Linked DNA regions of Anolis sagrei. The protein of the gene in region 2 interacts with the protein of the main gene of each other region in a pairwise test. Links are inferred from orthologs where the notes say so. Each region holds a gene or a part of one and is shown on either strand. Other genes may lie near its edges.

Region 1 (3,747 bases), on a different chromosome or scaffold from region 2:
ATACAAGAAATAAAAATAATATTAATAACTGAATAAAATAATAAATAACCTTGATTCGAGTATAAGCCGAGGGGAGCTTTTTCAGCCTAAAAAAGGGGCTGAGAAACTAGGCTTATACTCGAATATACACTGTATTTTTGGAGTGAAATAGGCCTCGCTAAGGCTGATCTGGCCGGGGTGGTCCATGCCTTAGTCACCTCTAGACTGGATTACTGCAATGCGCTCTACGTGGGGCTGCCCTTGAAAACGGCTCGGAAATTCCAATTGATCCAACGGGCAGCAGCCAGGATGTTAATGGGGGCCCATTACAGAGAGAGGTCAACCCTTCTGTTTAAGGAGCTCCACTGGCTGCCGTTTATTTTCCGAGCCCAATTTAAGGTGCAGGTGCTTACCTACAAAGCCCTGAACGGTTTGGGACCACCCTACCTGCGTGACCGCATCACAGTCTACGAACCCACATGTTCACTCCGGTCATCAGGAGAGGCCCTGCTCGTGATCCCGCTCGCGTCGCAGGCGCGTTTGGTGGGGACGCGGGACAGGGCCTTCTCTGTGGTGGCCCCCCGCCTCTGGAATGCCCTCCCGAAAGATCTCAGACAGGCCCCTACTTTGGCGGTTTTCAGAAAGAACCTGAAAATACTTAATAAAAATCATTTTAAAAAAAAGAAAGAACCTGAAAACCTGGCTGTTCCAACGTGCCTTCTCAGATTAGGAACCCCACCACCAAAGCCCAGAAGCACTTTAGTAGAGTCAAGATCACCCTCACCGCACACTGCACTTATATTCTAATCCCATATCCCTCCGACACTTCAGCACTTTTTAATCCTGTACCCTACTCCGGCCGGCTCAGTTTTTAATAATGTCCTGTTGTATTGCTATTGCTATTGTCTTCTGCTTTAACTGCTTTATTTGCTATGTATTGTATTGTTGTATTGTGTTGGGCCTGTTGTAAGCTGCATCGAATCCCTTGGGAGATGCTAGCGGGGTACAAATAAAGTTATAATAATAATAATAATAATAATCAAGCAATGCTGTTTTCATAGAATCATAGAATCAAAGAGTTGGAAGAGACCTCATGGGCCATCCAGTCCAACCCCCTGCCAAGAAGGAATATTGCATTCAAATCACCCCTGACAGATGGCCATCCAGCCTCTGTTTAAAAGCTTCCAAAGAAGGAGCCTCCACCACACTCCGGGGCAGAGAGTTCCACTGCTGAACGGCTCTCACAGTCAGGAAGTTCTTCCTAATGTTCAGATAGAATCTCCTTTCTTGTAGTTTGAAGCCATTGTTCCACATCCTAGTCTCCAAGGAAGCAGAAAACAAGCTTGCTCCCTCCTCCCTGTGGCTTCCTCTCACATATTTATACATGGCTATCAGATCTCCTCTCAGCCTTCTCTTCTTCATGCTAAACATGCCCAGTTCCCTAAGCCGCTCCTCATAGGGCTTGTTCTCCAGACCCTTGATCATTTTAGTCGCCCCCTCTGGACACATTCCAGCTTAGAGTCAATATCTCTCTTGAATTGTGGTGCCCAAAATTGGACACAATATTCCAGGTGTGGTCTAACTAAAGCAGAATAGAGCATGGGGAGCATGACTTCCCTAGATCTAGACACTATGCTCCTATTGATGCAGGCCAAAATCCCATTGGCTTTTTTTGCCGCCACATCACATTGTTGGCTCATGTTTAACTTGTTGTCCACGAGGACTCCAAGATCTTTTTCACACGTACTGCTCTCGAGCCAGGCGTCACCCATTCTGTATCTTTGCATTTCATTTTTTCTGCCAAAGTGGAGTATCTTGCATTTGTCACTGTTGAACTTCATTTTGTTAGTTTTGGCCCATCTCTCTAATCTGTCAAGATCGTTTTGAATTCTGCTCCTGTCCTCTGGACTATTTTCATCCCTTCTTTCTTTCCCCCCTTCCTTCCTTCTTTCCTTCCTCCCTTCTCCAGCTCTGAGGGGCCTATCTCACCACGTCTCTTTCCTTCTTTTCTCCCTTTTACAAGTTACTTCCCTTCCTTTCTTTCTCCCTGACATCAGAGGGCCACTTAACCTGGCAACAGCCAACCCAGTGACGTCGGAGGGCCACTTCACCTGTGGTCCAAGCAGGCATACTTTTGATAGATTGATAGATAGATAGATAGATAGATAGAGATAACTTCTGGTTAAGGTGCACTGGAGGAAGGAGTCATTCAGGCTCCAGCCCCAGCGGCTCTAACGCTCTGGCATCACAACTTTAGGGCTGGATGAGAGAGGCTGGCTAGGCCGCTTCCGGTCTCCATGGCAACCAAAGCGAGGGGGAGCGCAAAGGCCTGAGGGGCGGGGAGAGGCTGGCTCCGTTGCCTAGCGACGCCCCACCTGCTGGGCCCGCGGCCCTCCGGCGACGGAACTCCGGATACATCCGCTCCCCCGGCCTCGGCTTTGCCCCGCCACCGCCGCGGCCTTAGGAGGCCTCCGCCGCCTCGCAGGCCCCGCCCCTCCCTTCCCAAGCCCCGCCCCCCGCGCCTCATTGGATGGTTTGTGTTACGGGCGTGGACTTAGGAGGAAGTGATTGCAACAGCCCTTTGATTGGGTTGCTGGGAGTTTTGTGGGCTGCCTGGCCATGCTCCAAAAGCATTCTCTCCTGACATTTCGGCCACATTTATGGCAGGCATCCTCAGAGGTTGTGAGGTCTGCTGGAAACAAGGAAAACTGGGTTTATATATCTGTGGAATGATGTCCAGGGTGGGTGAAAGAACTCTTAGCCTACTTGATTCACATTGAACGGCCTTGCAGCTTCAAAACCTGGCTGGTTGCTGCCTGGGAGAATCCTTTGTTGTGAGAGGTGCTAGCTGGCCCTGATTGACTCTTCTATGGAATTCCCCTGGTTTTTTTTAGTGTTTATATATCTGTGGAATAATGTCCAGGGTGGGAGAAAGAACTCTTGTCTGCTTGAGGCAAGTGTGAATGTTGCAACTGGCCACCTTGATTAGCATTGAATGGCCTTGCAGATTCAAAGCCTGGCTGTTTCCTGCCTGGGGGAATCCTTTGTTGGAAGGTGATTAGTTGGCCCTGATTGCTTCTTGTCTGGAATTTCCCTGTTTTTTTAGTATTGATCTGTGGAATAATGTCTAATGTGGGAGAAAGAACTCTTGTCTGCTTGAGACAAGCGTGAATGTTGCAATTGACCACCTTGATTAGCAATGAATGGCCTTGCAGCTTCAAAGCCTGGCTGTTTCCTGCCTGGGGGAATCCTTTGTTGTGAGAAGTGCTAGCTGGCCCTGATTTACTCTTTTATGGAATTCCCCTGTTTTTTTTAGTGTTTATATATCTGTGGAATAATGTCCAGGTTGGCAGAAATAACTCTTGTCTGCTTGAGACAAGCGTGAATGTTGCAATTGACCACCTTGATTAGCATTAAATGGCCTTGCAGCTTCAAAGCCTGGCTGATTGCTGCCTGGGGAGCAAGTGGGAGTGTTGCAACTGGCCAGCAAGGAACATGAATGGCATTACAGACTAATTCTATTTATAGTCAGAATCTTATTTTCCTGGTTCTTCTTTCAGGAAATCAGCTCTTTTCTTAATAGCTTTCAGAATAAAACTAGTGTTCTATTTTGAAATGGTCATATGACTGATCGAATAAATAAATATTATTATTACTGACTAATTCACCCAGAGAAGTCAGCCATAGCAGAGCACTTGGTGAACCAACCTGGAGACAGCATATTATTTGAGAACACAGAAATGCTGGGTCACTCTCACAACCACCATC
Region 2 (3,747 bases):
CTTTCACTCAGACTCAGCCCCCCCCCCCGAAACTCAGCCCCCCCCCGAAACCCCCGCTGAAAATTTTTTAGCCCCCCCCGAAACGAAATCCTGGCTACGGGCCTGCCCCTGACAGATGGCCATCCAGCCTCTGTTTAAAAGCTTCCAAAGAAGGAAGGAGCCTCCACCACACTCCCTCTGGGGCAGAGAGTTCCACTGCTGAACGGCTTTCACAGTCTGGAAGTTCTTCCTCATGTTCAGATGGAATCTCCTCTCTTGTAGTTTGAGGCCATTGTTTCGTGTCCTAGTCTCCAAGGAAGCAGAAAACAAGCTTGCTCCCTCCTCCTCCCTGTGGCTCTCTCTCACATATATATATGGCTCTCATCATATCTCCTCTCTGCCTTCTCTTCTTCAGGCTAAACATGCCCAGCTCCTTAAGCCACTCCTCATAGGGCTTGTTCTCCAGACCCTTGATCATTTTAGTCGCCCTCTTTCTCTGGACACATTCCAGCTTAGAGTCAATATCTCTCTTGAATTGTGGTGCCCAGAATTGGACACAGTATTCCAGGTAAAGTGGTCTAACCAAAGCGGAAGAGAGCATGGGGAGCATGACTTCCCTGGATCTAGACACTAGGCTCCTCTTGATGCAGGCCGAAATCCCATTGGCTTTTTTTGCCACCACATCACATTCCTGGCTCATGTTCCCCTTTCTCTCCACGAGGACTCCAAGATCTTTTCCACACGTCCTGCTCTCGAGCCAGGGCTCATTGTCCCCCATTCTGTATCTTTGCATTTCATTTTTCCTGCCAAAGTGGAGTCTCTTGCATTTGTCCCTCTTGAACTTCATTTTGTTAGTTTTGGCCCTTCATCTCTCGAATCTGTCAAGATTGCTTTGAGTCCTGCTCCTGTCCTTTGGACTATTGGCTATCCCTCCCAATTTGGTCCCGTCTGCAAACTTGATGATCCTGCCTTCTCGCCCTTCATCTAAGAGTCATGAATCAAGATGTTGAACAGGACCGGGCCCAGGGGGGAACCCTGCTTGTGGCACTCTGCTCATCACTTCTTTCCAAACCCTGAACCTATGCCTGGCAGGGGCAACTCCCACCCTTCTCCCCAGCCTCAGGCCCTTTCCTTCCCTCAGACGCATCAGCATAAACTGAGGGGGGAAAGGAAGGGGGCTGAGGCTGGGAGGAATGATGGGTGTTGGAATCCAAAACACGTGGAAAGAGGGAGGGAGGGCCCAAGTTGGCCCAAGCCTGATCTATGCCTAGAGATACAGACAGGGAAAGTGGGGCTCCCTGTGTGGGGCAGGGTAGAGGGTTTTTTTTGGGGGGGGGGGTCTCCTCCTCTGCTTTGGTTCCCTGGCCAAGCCCCCCCACCTCTCTGCTTGTGAACCCACTCTGCCCCCCCTTCCCCCGTGGCTGTCATCAGGGCAGTGGGCGAGGACAAAGCGTCCGAAGTTTGGCCAGGGCTGCTGCCCATCAATAATGCAAAGCTTGGTTATTCATGATACAATTATGCTCTTGGCTTGGCTTCCAGACATCAAAACATGGCCAGGATTGGGTTTCAGGGGCGGAGGGAGAGAGAGAGGGGGGGCCCGCCGGGAAGACTGGCCCCGGCCCCAGCACCGCCTTGGGCCCCTTGAAGACCCTTCCCAAGCCCTCCAGGGGCTCCCTGCCCCCCCCCCCGCCCCGCAGCCCCCCCCTCCCCGAACTCCCAAGGGAATGGGGGGGGGGGGGGAAGCCTGGTTCAAGAGCCCCGGCCTGGGTTCGCGACCTCGGGTTGAACCTCCGTGGATCCTGCGCTTCTCCTCGCTCGCGGGCGGAGGGGCCACCCCAAGCAGGCTCTCCCTCCCTCCCTCCCTGCCCGACCCCTACCCTCATCTCTTACCCCCCCTCCCCAAACAGGCTTTGGCATTTCGGGAGGGAGGGGGGAAGGAAGGCTCCGCTCTCACCTCAGGATCTCTTTCCTGGTGAAGAAGGTCGCATCCTGCAGGCAAAGAAGGGAAGGGAAGGGCAAGTCAGGGCAAGGCAGGCTGGGCGCCCCCTCCCCTCCCCCTCCCCACGCCCTCCCCCCCCCCACTCCCCCCACCTGGTAGGCGTCGAGCTGCTCCGGCGTGAAGACGGTCTGCTTGTTGCCCATCCTCTCATGGCTCCCGTCGTCTCCCGGGACGGACCTGGGAGGGAGAGAGGGAGGGAGGGGGGCTCCGCGGGGCGGGAGGGGATCCGGTGTCGCTTCATGGGGCCCGGGGGGGGGGTGAGGGGAGAGGAAGGGGAGGAGGGCCGAGAGACAGACAGAGAGAGAGAGAGAGAGAGCGCTCTTCCTCCCGAATCCCTCCCCCCTCCCCCTCCCCCTCCTTCTGGCAGCAGGTGTGCAGGGCGAGCAGGAGATGCCACACGGAAGGAAGGAAGGAAGGAGGCAGGAGAGCAGTTCCCATGGCAAAGGCCTCCCTCCACAAGAAGAACCACCCAACGGAGAGGAAGGAAACCGAGGTCCGACCGCCAGCGAGTCTGAGACAAACCTCAGAGGGAGAAAGCTTCCCTTCTGCCGCCCTGGAGAGAGACGAGGACGCGGAGGAGGAATGGCTCCTCTTCTGTCGCCACTGGGTCCCAACAAAATGCCTTTCTTCTATAGGACGCACACTTTAAACCCAGTGGGAAGCCGGGGTGCCCCAAGAGAGATTGTTAGAGACTTCCAGAAGGAATGGGCTTTAGAGTTCTTTAAAGGTATAACAAAGTCTTTCTTAAGGAACAAATCTTCAAACAACACTTCAAGGCTTTCTTGTTCTAGTCTTTAAGAGACTGGCACTGACTTGGATTAACTGTACTATCTCAACATGAGGAAGAACCCTTTATAATCTCTCCCAGGCTGTCTATCATCTGGGTCTTGCTGGTCTGGGTCTTACTACCGATCCCAACTGCGTCTGGACATCCAGTAAACCTACCAGCCAAGGCTTGAGGATCTTGGAATTCCGTGATTCTGTAGGAATGTCCTGTGGGAACTTCAGGGCTGTTTTCCCCTCTGGTGCTGTGAGGCTGTGAGGCTGTGAGCTCTCAGCCAGAGCCTTTGGGACCTTTTCCTTCTGTTTCCCTGGAACTGGATGGTCACTGGATGACCCCTGGGTGGTCACTGGATGGACCCCGGATCACCTCTGGATGATCCCCGGATGGCTTTGAGGAATGAAGCCTTTCCTTCGGGACAAGCTGATCTGCGTCCTATAGACTGGCTTCCTTGTGCGTGACTGACCAAAATGGTTCCTCTCCTTTCCCAAAGCCCAGACCAAAGGGTGGAAGCAAAGCTAAATGAAGATGGGCAGGGGGCTTGCCCTATGTCTGCAGACTATAACAGGAAGCCACCCTGCTGCAAAATCCCAAGCCTGGGATTGCAAACAAACCTTTAGTTCAAAGCAAATAAAATTGGAGCCCCTGTTCCGCTGTACCAAAACAGCTCCCAACTACAGGAAAGAAAGGAGATTCCACCTGAACCTGAGGGAGAACTTCCTGACTATGAGAGCTGTTCAGCAGTGGAACTCTCTGCCCCGGAGTGTGGTGCAGGCTCCTTCTTTTGAGGCTTTGAAGCAGAGGCTGGATGGCCATCTGTTGGGAGTGCTTTGAACGCGATTGTCTTGCTTCTTGGTAGAACTCTCTGCCCCGGAGGGAGTGTGGTGGAGGCTCCTTCTTTGGAGGCTTTGAAACAGAGGCTGGATGGCCATCTGTCAGGGGTGTTCTGACAGCAATTTCCCTGCTTCTTGGCAGAATGGGGTTGGAC
Region 3 (3,747 bases), on a different chromosome or scaffold from region 2:
GTGACCTCATGGACCAGTCCACGCCAGAGCTCCCTGTCGGCCGTCACCACCCCCAGCTCCTTCAAGGTCAGTCCAGTCACTTCAAGGATGTCATCCATCCATCTTGCCCTTGGTCAGCCCCTCTTCCTTTTGCCTTCCACTTTCCCCAGCATCATTGTCTTCTCTAGGCTTTGCTGTCTCCTCATGATGTGGCCAAAGCACTTCATCTTTGCTTCTAATATCCTTCCCTCCAATGAGCAGTCGGGCTTTATTTCCTGGAGGATGGACTGGTTGGATCTTCTCGCAGTTCAAGGCACTCTCAGAACTTTCCTCCAACACCACAGCTCAAAAGCATCTATCTTCCTTCGCTCAGCCTTCCCTAAGGTCCAGCTCTCACATCCGTAGGCCATACAGCCTGAAAAAACCTACAACAACCCAATGTTTTAAAAAGTTTGGAGGTGGGGAGAAATGTTATTTGGAATTCAGGTGCCATCATCCTTGATCATTGGCCAAGGCTTCTGGGAGTAGAAGTTCACAAAACTCATGCAGCAGAATATGGGAATCAATGGTTCAGGATATTCAGGCCCTGCTGTGTAACTCAATTCCGGATCCATTTGAGCCTTAATAATAATAAAACCATTCTCAGGGTTCAATCTCTTTGGATCCAGCGAAAAACTCGAAAATTTGCCAAGGAACGCCTCTCCAAGGAGTAGTCCAAGTATACGCATGCGTAGCCAGTCACTCTCGGTCGCCTCTGCTTGAGGCTCCGAGGCGAGCCGCTGAGCCGTCACGTGATTTCTGACGTAACCCATCACGCTGTCTTTTCATTGGTAGAGACAGAAACCGTTAAGATTTGAACCGGGCGAGGCGTTGAGTTAGAGGTGATACCTCAGAGTTGGTGGCAGTAGCAGAAACGTCGGTGGGGCGTCCTCGGAAGCCAAGTAGGTAAATAGGGAGGGAAGGGGGGAGGGAAGGGAGCGGAGGCGAGAGGCCCGGGACTCGGAGGGAGCCCGGAACCCGCTTACCCAAGGCATTCCTGCTCCTGAGCGCCCACCCCGCCCCCTCCCTCCTGAAAACCCTTAGTCCACGCTCTGTTAGTGCCTCGTTTGCTCCTTTGCATCAAGATTTTCACTGTTTCTTATGATATTAAGTTGCTAGTACTGTCTGATAACTCTTCAGGTCTGTTGCGTTTGGAGAATTCCAGCCCATTAAACCTAGGTGACAAAACAAAAATAGGACAATAGACTCTTAGATTGGAAGAGACCACAAGGGCCATACATTCCACACCCCCCCCCCCAAAAAAAATGGAGAAAAAACACAACCAAAGCATTCCCAACAGATGGCCATCCAGCCTCTGCTTAAAAATTTCTAGAGCAGGAGATTTATTTATTTATTTATGACATGTATATGCTGCCCTTATCATCCCAAACCTGAAGACCCAACAGGTCACAGGTTCGAATCTGGGGAGAGCGTGGATGAGCTCCCTCTATCAGCTCCAGCTCCTCATGCAGGAACATGAAAGAAGCCTCACACAAGGATGGTACAACATCAAAACATCTGGGCTTCCCCTGGGAAACGTTCTTGCAGATGGCCAATTCTCTCACACCAGAAGCGACTTGCAGTTTCTCAAATCAGTCCTGACACGACAAACAAAAAATCACCCCAAAGGGGACTCAGAGCTTCTTACAAGATTATATTATTTTGTATTATTAGCATTGCACAATATCAATATTATATATTACTATATTGTACTATTTGTCATTTAATTATTATTATTTATTTCATGCATTTCTACCCTGCCCTTCTCCCCCCCCCCCCCCCGAAGGGGGACTGAGGGCGACCTCACACAGCATCATATGGTGCTATCAACATATAAACAATCAAAAATTACATTTAAAACATTAATAACCATTAAAAACTCATTATATAATTCATTAAACAATAAATTAACATACCAATTAAAATTATACCATTATATTGTAATATTATTAGTGATATTACATCTACGTTCGTTTGTGGGATTAACATAACACAAAAACCGCTGGAGGAATGGACACCAAATTTGGACACAAGACACCTAACAACCCAATGTATGTCCTTCACTCACAAAAACACTAAAAAAACACAGCAGAAGGGACTTAAAAAGCCCCCAAAAGCTAAATGACAATACAGAAAAAAGGAAGAAAGAGGGAGGGAAGGGGAGGAGAAAGAAAGAAGGAAAGGGAGAAGGAAGGAAAGAGGTAGAGAAGGAAGAAAGGAGAGAAAGAGGAAGTGAAAGAAAAATGGGGAAGGAAGGAAAGTTAGGGAAGGAAGGAAGGAGAGATGGAAAGAAGGAAGGAAAGAGGGAGCGAAGGGGGGAAGATGTAGAGAAAGAGGGAGGGAAGAAAAGAGAGAAGGAAGAAAAGAGACAGCAGAAAAGAAAGAAAAAGGGGGAAGGAAGGAAAGAGGGAGGGAAGGAAGGAGGGAGGGAAAGAAGAAGAGAAAGAGGGAAGATTGGCCACAGCAACGTGTGGCGGGTACAGCTAGTGTAATATAAAATATATAATTATATCGTATTAGTATTGTATTACATTATAGTATTATAAAGGTCTTCCTAATGTTTAGGTGAAATCTCTTTTCCTCCAATTTGAATTGATTGTTCTGTGCCCGAGTCTCTAAATCAATAGAAAATAAGGTTGCCCCCTCCCAAATGTGCCCCCCCTTTCAGATATTTAAAAATGGCTATCATGTCCCCTCTCAGCCCCTGATGTGGGAGGGCTGATTCCCAGAACAAGTCCATACCTTGAGAAGTGATCTGGCCACCGTGGTCCATGCCCTTGTCACATCTAGACTGGATTGCTATAGGGCTGCCCTTAAGGACTGTTAGGAAGCTTCAGCTGGTTCAAAGATCTGTGACCAGGCTGCTTACTGGAGCGCCTTTCAAGGAGCAGTCAACCCCACTGTTGTGGCATCTCCACTGGTTACCAGTTTTCTACCAAGTGCAATTCCAGGTGCTGGTTTTAAACTTTAAAGCCCTGAACGGTTCAGGGCCAAACTATCCAACCACATCTCCCAATATGAGCCTGCCCGAGCCCTACGATCTGCTGGGGAGGCCCTGCTCTCGGTCCTACCATCATCTCAGGTGTGGTTGGTGGATACCAAGGAGAGGGCCTTCTTGACAGTGGTTCCTAGACTCTGGAACTCCCTCCCTAAGGATATCTGAATCCCCCCACCCTGCTTTCTTTCAGAAAGCAAATAAAAAAAAATTCCTCTGGAAGGAAGCTTTTGTGGAAGGCAATGAGCAAGCATGTTAAATGACAGTGGATTTTGACATTATGGCAACAAGTTGGAGCTAGTTTTTAATTATAGCTGGTTTTAATTATTGTTTTATTATGTACTGTAGTTTTATATGATGTGTTAAAATGTTTAGAACTGTGATTTATATTTATTTTCAGTTTTTGTATTGTCTTAGATTCGTATGGTATCAAATTGCTGTGGAGTGTTAGCCGCTCTGAGTCCCTCAATGAGAGAGAAAGGGCAGGGTATAAAACAGAGTAAATATAAGTTAAAAAAAGTTGCCAGGCCAGGTGATGTCTTAAGGATATGGTCTTGCCCAAGCCTGACACTCCTTTAATGTTACCAAGCTCCATTTGTTCAATGACTCCATCCCATATGCTTCTTTCTGCATGGGAATGCCTTTGTTATCTAAGACTGGACAGAACCATAGATTGAAAGCCATCTAGGCCAACCCACTGGTATGAAGGAATACACAATTGCTTTATCCCATGT

The links.
Region 1: the proteins of CIB3 (region 2) and ENOX2 interact in binary tests that used the Homo sapiens proteins (3 or more experiments, as listed by UniProt). The two-hybrid records come from large-scale screens. The link is inferred for Anolis sagrei from reciprocal best matches to the Homo sapiens genes CIB3 and ENOX2.
Region 3: the proteins of CIB3 (region 2) and TACC3 interact in binary tests that used the Homo sapiens proteins (3 or more experiments, as listed by UniProt). The two-hybrid records come from large-scale screens. The link is inferred for Anolis sagrei from reciprocal best matches to the Homo sapiens genes CIB3 and TACC3.

What each region holds. Positions count from the first base shown.
Region 1 is NC_090030.1:10,444,141-10,447,887, forward strand, and holds the start of ENOX2 (ecto-NOX disulfide-thiol exchanger 2), read right to left. Parts: upstream 2,466-3,747; 5' UTR 2,398-2,465; coding exon 2,355-2,397; intron 1-2,354. UniProt on the Homo sapiens protein: May be involved in cell growth. Probably acts as a terminal oxidase of plasma electron transport from cytosolic NAD(P)H via hydroquinones to acceptors at the cell surface.
Region 2 is NC_090026.1:134,132,317-134,136,063, forward strand, and holds the start of CIB3 (calcium and integrin-binding family member 3), read right to left. Parts: upstream 2,180-3,747; 5' UTR 2,122-2,179; coding exon 2,071-2,121; intron 1,969-2,070; coding exon 1,934-1,968; intron 1-1,933. UniProt on the Homo sapiens protein: Acts a an auxiliary subunit of the sensory mechanoelectrical transduction (MET) channel in hair cells. Plays a role in regulating hair cell MET channel localization and function.
Region 3 is NC_090023.1:142,939,066-142,942,812, reverse strand, and holds the start of TACC3 (transforming acidic coiled-coil-containing protein 3), read left to right. Parts: upstream 1-811; 5' UTR 812-920; exon of another isoform or gene 921-924; intron 925-3,747. UniProt on the Homo sapiens protein: Plays a role in the microtubule-dependent coupling of the nucleus and the centrosome. Involved in the processes that regulate centrosome-mediated interkinetic nuclear migration (INM) of neural progenitors.